Linked DNA regions of Callithrix jacchus. The main gene of each other region encodes a partner of the protein of the gene in region 2 in a complex. Links are inferred from orthologs where the notes say so. Each region holds a gene or a part of one and is shown on either strand. Other genes may lie near its edges.

Region 1 (4,994 bases), on a different chromosome or scaffold from region 2:
AAGGAAATAAATGTTTTTCATGTGCTGACCAGTATAGCAGCCATCAGCCTCAAGTGGCTACTGAGTACTTGAAATGTGGCTAATGTGACTAAGGAAATAAATGTTTTTTTTTGTTTGTGTTTGAGAGACAGGGTCTTGCCCTGTCACCCAGGCTGAAGCAATCATGGCTCACTGCAGCTTCAACCCCCTGGGCTCAAGTGATCCTCCTGCCTCAGCCTCCCAAGTAGTTAGGACCACAGGCATGTGCTACCATGCCTGACTAATTTTGATTCTTTTTGTAGAGATGAGGTTTCACTGTTTCCCAGGATAGTCTTGAACTCTAGGCTGAAGCAATCCTCCTGCCTTGGCCTCTGAAAGTGCTAGATGCAGTATGAGCCACTGCACCCAGCCAGAAATAAATTTTTAATACTGTTTAAGTAGCCATATGTAGCTTGTGGCTATCATACTGGACACTGCAGTTCTAGCATGATCATGATTTCAGTATTGAAAGGGCATTCAAAGCATGGAGGTTAGAACCGTCTTACCTTACAGGTTACAATAGCTCCCACATCTGGCAGTAATTGGGACTCTGTTTCTCTCATTACAGACACCACAGGAAGCTACAGAGGGAACAACAAAAAACTGAAATGTCCTGGCTAACCCTTGGGTCAAGGCATTTGTGGCTTGAGAGTAACATAGGAATGCCTTAGTACACAGTTGAGAGTTGGAGTACAGATTCATTTATAGCCCAGAGCAGAAGACATTAGAAACTTTAGGAAATAGTAGGAAAAAGAGGTTACAGAATGCTGCTAAGACATAAATCTCACTATTCTAGATGAGTTCTAGTAAGTTTTTTGGTGATTCTCTTGGAATTTCTTGGTATACAACTATATACTGCCTATAATCATGGATAATTTTTTTCTTTTTTTTTTTTGAGATGGAGTTTCACTCTTGTTGCCCAGGCTGGAGTCCAGTGGCACGATCTCGGCTCACTGCCACCTCCGCCTCCTGAGTACAAGTGATTCTCCTGCCTCAGCCTCCTGAGTAGCTGGGATTACAGGCACGCGCCAACATGCCCAGCTAATTTTTTGTATTTTTAGTAGAGACGGGGTTTCACCATGTTGACCAGGATGGTCTCGATCTCTTGACCTCGTGATCCACCCGCCTCGGCCTCCCAAAGTGCTGGGATTACAGGCTTGAGCCCCCGCCTGGCTGAAATTCCCACAAAAATGTTACATAATAGTGGCCATGCTTGTTTTCTTCTATTTTAAGTGAATAGCTGCATTTGCTCTTTGAGCATGGTATTGGCTGTTGGTGTAAGACAGATAGTTTGAACCTCATCTTTTATCAATCTCTCCCTTGGTCATGATGCTTCAGCTCTCCTGGCCTTCTTTCAGTTTCTCTGACTTACTAAATTCTTCCCACTTTTGGATCTCTCTTCAACCCGTTCTTTCTACCAGAACTACACTCTCTCCACCCACCCAACTCTTACTTACTCTTTAGATGATTCAGCTTAAATGTCACTTCTGCTGACTAGGGTGGGTTTGGTTGTTACATGTTTTCAAGGTGCCCTGTAATATTCTTTTAAGCAGTCACCAAATATGTAACCATATACAATTTAAGCATTTATTTTACAATTTGTGTCTGTGTCCTTTGATAGCAGAAACCAAGTCAGCGCTGTGCCTGACACATGAAAACACTCAGATGGTATCTGTGAAGTGAAGAAACTCAGGACTGTTAAGGACATTCCCAAGAATGACTGAATAGAAAGCCCCTTGAATCAGACAGCTTAATTTACTTACTCAAAGCAGAATCAAGGTCTAGTTAGCTAGAACCTATGTGTTCTAATTCTGAATCCTCTATTGTGCTCCTTCAAATATTGCTTATGCGATCCTGAGCTAATCCTAGATCAATTTCTGATTTTTTTTTTTTTGAGACGGAGTTTCGCTTGTGTTACCCAGGGGCTAAAGTGCAATGGCGCTATCTCGGTTCACTGCAACCTCCGCCTCCTGGATTCAGGCAATTCTCCTGCCTCAGCCTCCTGAGTAGCTGGGATTACAGACATGCGCCACCATGCCCAGCTAATTTTTTGTACTTTTTAGTAGAGACGGGGTTTCACCATGTTGACCAGGATGGTCTCGATCTCTTGACCTCGTGATTCACCCGCCTCGGCCTCCCAAAGTGCTGGGATTAGAGGCTTGAGCCACCGCGCCCAGCCCGATCAATTTCTAAAACTAGAAAGTTTGGTATTATGCATTCAACAAACATTTATTGAGGAGCTGCCTTGTGCTAGATACTGAATGTATGGTGGTAGGGCCTGCTTTCATGGAACTTAGATTCAAGCAGTGGAGAAGTCTGGTGGGAATCATATACCTGAGTTTCTAATCATATGCTGACATAAATGCTTGGAATAAAAGGAACAGAGGTCTTTGTGAGTCTTAAACAAAACAAACAAAAACAAAACACCCCACAAAACCCCTTTCCTCAATTAGTGGGTCCAGAAGGGCTTCTCTGAGAAGTTGATAGTACAGAAGCTATCTAAAGGAGGTAGGAATTAAATGGGCCTAGGAAGACAGAAGCGTTCCAGATAGATGAATGTTACAAAGGCTCTGTAGCAGGAGAAAGCTTGGCACCTTAGCGACATTGAGAGAAGCTAGTATGTTATAAATTTTTTAAAAAAGGGCAAGCAGAGACTGTGATTATAAATTTTAAAAACAGAAAAGACAGTATGACTAGATTGCGTCAGTGAGGTGGAGATAGTGGCGCAAGATAAAGCCGGAGAGATAAGCGACATTCATACAGTATGCAACTCACTGCTGGGCTGGGCTGGGTTACTGAGTTCACATCTGCTTTTGTCCCAACCTCCCTCCCCAAGAGTCAGCAGCACAACCAAGCGAGATCAACACAACTAGTTTGTGGTGTCCAAGTGCACAACGGCGGCGATCACGGCTAGAAGAAACTAAGACCAAGGTTGTACCGGTGAGGCACTAAAGACACGTCCGCAGTGGCCATGCCTAAGGACTGGAACTTAATGAAAGCCTAAGTGAAAAGAGAGAGAGGAGACGGCAAGCCGCTCCCTTTACCGCGCCGTTCTCGCTGCTCTTCATCAGGCAGCCGGCAAGCGACGAAAAGATGTAACCGTGGCGGGTGTAGGTGCCACTGCCCGGGCTGCCCTCCTCCAAGTTACACAGACGTTCGCCTGCAGAAAAAATGCTCTATCAGTCACTGGCCCCCAGAAGCTATAGGCCGTCCAGCCTTCCAGCTTCGACCTCTTTCCAGGACTCTACGGGAAGCGCTCTCTTACCGGGAATGCAGTATCTGACGGGTGGCGCCATGATTGCCGCTGTCCAAACCCGGATGGAAACGAAGTCGACTTCTCATTGGCCAAACCCAGGCACAGTTCCGCAGTAAGACTTGCGTCAATTGGTGTTCTTTATCACGTGATCTGTAGGAGCGCCTCCTTGCGGGTAAACTCAATTTCCCAGATTACCCCGGGACAAATCCGGGGGCGGAACTTCAGAGCTCCACGCTTGCGACTGCGCCTGTGGTTGAGGATGGGCTGGCGGCGGGTCCGGTTGCGCTGGCTGGCGCTGCGGGCTGCGTGCCATGGTGGGTTGGATTGAGCCCGGCCCGGCCGGGGCGCCGAGTCAGAAGGGGTGGCAGTGAGCGGCGGCAGAGGCTGCGGGGCTCGGTTTGGCTGACTGGGGAGTCGGCAGGCGGCAGGTAAGGGCGAAGCCTCGGCCCTTGCTCCCAATCCTAGTCCCTTTTTTTGGGTCGGGCACTGCCCTGAGGCCTTGTCTTGAGTCCGGGTTCCTGCTCTCTCCCCGCCCCGCCCTGCGGGGCCGTGTCTTCCTCCGCCGGAGCACACCTTCCGAGCAACCGTTAGGCATAGAGCCGGAAGGAAGGAGGTCAAGCGACCCCCTCCATTTCACAGATAGGGAACCTCAGATTCAGAGACAGGGTTTGGCTTGTCCAAAATCTTGAAGATAGTTAAGATAGAGCCCAAACTGGAACCCACGGTTTTTGACTTACAGACCGTCGCAGTTTCACCTCGTGGCTCTCATTGAGAAATAAAACCTTTTCCTGTTTGTTTGTTTGTTTTTTTAAATATATACGGGGTCTCGCTCTGTCGCCAGGCTGGAGTGTAGTGGCGTGATCTCGGCTCACTGAAATCTACGCCCCCTGGGTTCAAACAGTTCTGCCTCAGCCTCCCAAGCAGCTGGGATTACAGGCGTGTGTCACCGTGCCTGGCTAATTTTTGTACTTAGAGACAGGGTTTCACCTTGTTGGCCAGCCTGGTCCCGAACTCTTGGTCTCAGGTGATCCACCCGCCTCGGCCTCCCAAGGTGTTAGGATAACAGGCGTGAGCCACCGCGCCTGGTCCTTTTCCCGGTTTTTTAAACCGCAGCTTTCAGTCCTGCGTTCTGATCCTCTTCACGGCCCCCCATCCCTACTTCAGTGAGCTTTCTCAGGTTGAAAAAGTCGAGCTCTGGTTGTGTGGGCCCCTCATGAAAAGATGAGCAGCCCCAAAATAAAGTTGCTATTCTTTTTCTTCTCAGCGTGTTAGCCCAGAAGGGAGATCTGCACATGAATAAAATGCTACTCTTCATTGATGTCTGGTATCTCCTACTTGGAATTGCAAACATCCTAAGAGCAGCGTCTTTGATCTCAGTTGTTCACCTGACTTCTGATGGCGTTTGCCGTGTGTCCCTGTTCCCTCAGTCGACTTTCCCCTTGGGAAACAGATGGTGACTTAGAGCCATGGGAAGAAGGGAGGCTGTGGCCTGTAGTCTCCTCCAGTCTGGTGGCAGATCATGACTATGGCCTGTGGTGACTACTCTGAGGGATCACAGTACTCGGGGCTTCTGCTTGGGGTGGTAGTGAGGCTACACTTTGCCCTTCTTCCCCCCACACATCTTTCTGAATTTTGCTTTACCTCAGTGTCCTGAGATGAAAAGTCTATGTGTTCAGTTGTAGCCCACTTACTACATATATCATTTTCCTGGCATCCCCTA
Region 2 (5,008 bases):
TTCAAATGTCACAAAGAATCTGAATCCTGAAGATTAACCAACTTTTCAACAATGTATAATTATAAAAAAAAGGCAGGGAAGCCAGCATACATCAGGACTTACTTTCTAATTAAGCCCAAAGTCACTTTAAAAAGCAGACCATCCTGTCCAATGACACCCATTCCATTGGCTCGTCCACAGCTGTCAATACAGACCATCTCTGGTTCCATGTCTTTATTAGCAACCACAAATTGGCCATAGATGAGATCTCCAACCTATAATGATATTAAAAACCAGTTCATTACCTCTCAGCAAACTACTCTACAGGTGCTGCTATTGGTTCTTTCCCACAGCCATCAATGCCAGCCACCTACAGTTCTGTGGCTAAGGGACTGACTACACTACAGGATTTCTACAGTCACTTTGGAGTTGAGTCTTGTGAAAAAAAGGAACGCATGTATCATTCCCTTTCACCAACCAGGAAATCACAGAGGAAGAGCCATCTGAAGGCCAGAGAACACCTCTAGGGTTGCACTGTCCAATATGGTAGGTAGCTAATTATCTGAACTCACATTTAATTAAAATTAGATACTTAAAATTAATTTCCTGAGTTGCATTAGCCACATTTCAGGTGCTCAACAGCTAGTGGCTATCATACTAATCAGTAGAGACATAAAACAGCATCACTATGGAAAGATGTATTAGGTGACACCACCCTAGAGAATTACAGATTTACAGAGAGAGGAAGGAACTCACAGCATGCGAATTATTCAAAGCAAAACAAAATAATTCACTGACACTTCTCCCTGCAAGATTACTTAAAAACCTCATAGAGCTAAACTTTAAAGTGATGAAACTGAGGAAATGGAGAGTGAACTCGGTTTACTCAACAAAATGTGTTAAGTACCTACTGTTTGTTGGTGACTATGTAAACTATAGAGGAAGAAAACATTCTCCGATTTTCAGAAGCATTTGGTCTTGGAGGGCAGTTGGGAGGTACATATACTAAATCCAGTAAGTGCTAGAGAAAAGATAGGAGAAAAGTGACAACTGGGGATGGCTTTAGAGAGGTGGTTGTGTTTAGCCTAGGTCTAAAAGATGAGAATGTGTTCCACAGGCTGAGAAGGAATAGTGCAATCCAGAGGGAACAGCATGTGCAAAGAAATAAGGGCAGGAAATTGAGTTTAGTGGTTTTTGGTGTGATTCAAGTAGGGCTGCATGAAGGATATAATTAGGGATAAGGAAAAGACACCTGAAGTGTAATGCCAAGGAATTCTGTAGATTTTGGATAATCTTGTTTTTTCTTTTCCAGAAAGTGACTGTGAGGATGTCTGCTCTCAAAACCCTGGATGGTAAGGTAAAAATGTGGAGGCAAGGATTAATGTGACTGAGTCCAGTCAAGACGGAGCTAAAGCCTGAACTTGCAAAGTGGAGATAAAGGGATGGACATACCAAAGATCAGAGATGGAATCAAATAGGATCAAAATAGGGTTAGGCAACTAAATATGCATGAGAAGTGAATGAGAAGCAGCAAAGAAATCACTAAATGTCGGGCTGGGGTAGACAAGAGTGTGGCTATGCTACCTGAAAAGCCCAATCTGAAAACCCAAGGCAATAATATCACTCCTCTCTCAGCTCCTAGGATCTACAGCCAGGATGGATGGATAGCTGATAATGCCAAAATGCGCACTACTTTTCCCTCCTCTAAGCCTACAGAAGACTTCCTTGTCCAGAGGATGTGGACATAACACATAACAGAGATGACAGATAACTCAGTAGAAATGAAACATGCTAAGAACAATGTAGTCAATGTAAAGTAAGTATGTGGCTCTGGTCCTGGAGCATCTGAAGAAACTCTTGGAGCCTGGGGCAATTGCATGCACAGAAATCTAGGTCATGCTTTGGAGACAATTCAGGTAGCCTTCTGGAGATATGAGTCCTTCAAGGGAATGGATGTTTTTCTTGCTTTGAAACCAAAGGCTCCCATCATTACCTGCACATTTGGTCTGTTTCTTTTAGTTGCACCTTCAAATGACAAGTAAGACAAAGAAGCCGGCTCACTCCCTCCAACATCAACTTTGAATATATCTCCAGATTTAGCTGTCACTATGCCAATCACATGGTCTCCTTTCACTGGAACATACTACAAAAGGAAACAGAATGAGAAAACAGTCATAAATAACAACATACCATTGGAAGATACCTTCAGCAAGTCTTTTGTGGTTACCTTATTGTCATTAAAGAGAAAGAAATTTGATCGTATGCCGCTTTTGGTAAAAGAAAATCACATAAAGTGTCGGGTTTGCAGCTTCTGGTAGTCTGTTAATTGAGCCCAAACCCCGTATTTCTTCAGCACCCCAAAGAGTAAGTCCCTAGCTTTGTAGCATAAATCCAGTGGCAAAGGAATCCTTACAACCAAGGAAGCCCATTCCATAGTTAGACATTTTTTTTTCTGTATGAAAGTTCTTATCTGTCCTAGGAGAAATTAACTCCCCTTGACATCCACTCATTCAGCCTGGTCCTGCCCTCTGAGACTCCAAAGGGAAAGTCTGCTGCTCCCTGACCTTTGGGGTTTTGAAGACTATAATCATGACTAACGGTCTCCAAACGTTTTTCTCTCCTGGTCGCCCTTCTCAGGGTATGTTCCTATTGTTCACGGACCCTCTAAAGGACATGAAAAGTGGGCACAAGACTACGGTGGTACTAGGGGCTCTAGGTGCCTGAACAAGGAGGGCTTCAGTGTCCCATCCTTTCTTCTTTTGGGAGGTCTTCTTAAAGCAGGGCTACCACTCCGGAGTCCCAGCTTACCCGCTTCTGCTGAGAGTCCACCCAGTAAACGCCGCCGCCGCCGCCGCCGCCACCGCCGGGCTCTTTGTGACGGAGGCGGCCGCACTTGGTGACCAGCAGGCGGTCCCCACAGCGCCGCAAGCCCGGGCCGCAAATAACGCGCACCCGCGAGCAAGCTCCAGCATTCAGGCTCAACGGTCGCTCCCCTGCACCGCCAGGGCCTTCCGCGTCCTCCTGTTCCGGCAGGAGCAGCTCCTCACCCGGGAGCACCACCTGACCTAGTACTGAGCGCGCAACGCGCGCCCCGCCGCCCGCGAGAGATTCAGCAACTACTGATACACCTTCAGCCATTGCGGACGCCCGCAAACACCGTTTCCGGTATTCGCCTTCCGCTTCCGCACCCGCCCTTGATGACTTTCCGGTTCCGGCAGTAGTGGTCGGTTGAGTTGACCAGTTTATGAAGCTTCGTTGCCGTCAGCTCACAGGTGCCCGTCCGAGGTGGCTGTAGCCAGCCATCTATCTTACAGGCGTGAGCCACCGCGCCCGGCCGAACTTTTATGTTTTTTAGGATTGAGACAGATCATCTTCAACACACCCTCCAAATTTGGCAAGCCATTTTCCCCGCTAGGTGTAATAGAAGGCCAACAAATAAAAGGGGCTCCCACTTCCAGGTTAGTTTCCCTGGCAAAAATGGGAGCTCCTGTGGCAGAGACAGTATTAATTGTGCTTTTCTCTTCCCCACTCCAGAAGTATTGGGTGACCCTGCCTGCCTCAGTGTTGGCAGGATCAACAGCACGGCTGAAGGGCGCTCAAGGACCTCACATTCGGGCCAGGCAAAGAGGCAGGTGGGGAAATGTTCTCTGAACTGTCCTTCATTCACCCCACGTCGGTAGTGAAGTCTTTGGAAGAAACTCGGATCAGAGCTAGCAGAGGCCGCACATGACGCGCGGCGTAGCGCTCTAGCAGGTCAGCAGATGAAACAGCTGAGGCCGGGATGGAAAGTTTTCTCGCGACCCGAGGGCCGGGGCTGGGCCACTCCTGAGCACCACCCACCCTGACACGCCCACAGCGGGCGGGGCGCGAGGAACCGCAGCCAGCTTACCTGGCCGTGCGCAGCTGCGTCGGTGCTTCGCCGCCTCGGGGTCTTGCGCCCTGCCGAGAGCTAGCAGCCGGTGCTGGGCGGCGGGAATTCGTCCGCTGTTAGGTGGGAGCCCGAAGCCGCGAACGAGTGTTTGAAACCCGGCTTCAAGCCCTCGAGGGCGCGCGGGTTGGTCCTAGGGTCCCATGGGTCACGGTTCACATTTTCGAGCAACTCGTGCTTCCTCTCTGGTTATAAAAGTGGGAAAAGTGCAACGATTGGGGAATAAGGAGGAGGCTTTGCCCTCCGCCGGCGCTTGTGTTTCCCTGCTGATCGCGAGGTGGATTACGCCCGGTTCTCTGTCAGGCTTGCGGGTTTGGAGCCAAAGCAGTCGAGGCTGCTCCCCTTTCCAGTGCCTCTGGCCTATGCCTCCCCATTCGGAGTGTAACCAGGTCCCTTGATATTTAAGTACTCTGTTTTTTTTTTTTTTTTCTGTTTTGTTTTGGGTTTTTTTGAGACAAAGTCTCGCTCTGCCACCCAGACTGAAGTGTAGTGGCGCGATCTTGGCTCACTGCAACCTCCGCCTCCCAAGTTCAAGCGATTCTCCTGCCTTAGCCTCTTGAGTAGCTGGAATTACAGGCATGCACCACCACAACTGGCTAATTTTTGTATTTTTAGTGGAGATGGGGTTTCACCATGTTGGCCGGGCTGGTCTCGAACTCCTGACCTCAAATGACCGCCCGCCTCCGCCACCCGAAGTGCTGGGATTACAGGCGTGCGCTGCCATGCCCGGCCCAGAACACACTTTTTTCTTATTAACTACTGTTTTAAATGTGTTAGCAATTCCATAAAATATAGTTTCCTTACCATCATTCCCCAAATCTGAACTACATTCTGTTGGCTAGATTCCTATGTGGAATAACATTCAAGTTTGGACTTGGTGTATCACAATACAGAACCAATTTTAAATACTCAAAATTACATGGTTTTCTGGTTTCCAACAGCTTTGCCATTTATTGGCATTTCTCAAATAAGGAAACATCTTTCATGTTTATTCTCATTTTGTACTGTGTGTGTGCCTGTGTCATGGCACCTTTTGTTAGAGAAGAGCCCCAGCCTCCAAAGGAGATGACTAAGCAAGAAAGCAGGTTCACCTGCCACAGC

The links.
Region 1: EXOSC3 (region 2) and EXOSC1 share a complex: the UniProt entries of both Homo sapiens proteins name them as parts of the RNA exosome core complex. The link is inferred for Callithrix jacchus from reciprocal best matches to the Homo sapiens genes EXOSC3 and EXOSC1.

What each region holds. Positions count from the first base shown.
Region 1 is NC_133513.1:90,265,504-90,270,497, forward strand, and holds the start of EXOSC1 (exosome complex component CSL4), read right to left. Parts: upstream 3,335-4,994; 5' UTR 3,315-3,334; coding exon 3,284-3,314; intron 3,179-3,283; coding exon 3,063-3,178; intron 600-3,062; coding exon 525-599; intron 1-524. Other genes in the region: palmitoyltransferase ZDHHC16, read left to right, coding at 4,670-4,809. UniProt on the Homo sapiens protein: Non-catalytic component of the RNA exosome complex which has 3'->5' exoribonuclease activity and participates in a multitude of cellular RNA processing and degradation events.
Region 2 is NC_133502.1:144,772,409-144,777,416, forward strand, and holds the start of EXOSC3 (exosome complex component RRP40), read right to left. Parts: upstream 3,138-5,008; 5' UTR 3,118-3,137; coding exon 2,788-3,117; intron 2,123-2,787; coding exon 1,973-2,122; intron 255-1,972; coding exon 103-254; intron 1-102. UniProt on the Homo sapiens protein: Non-catalytic component of the RNA exosome complex which has 3'->5' exoribonuclease activity and participates in a multitude of cellular RNA processing and degradation events.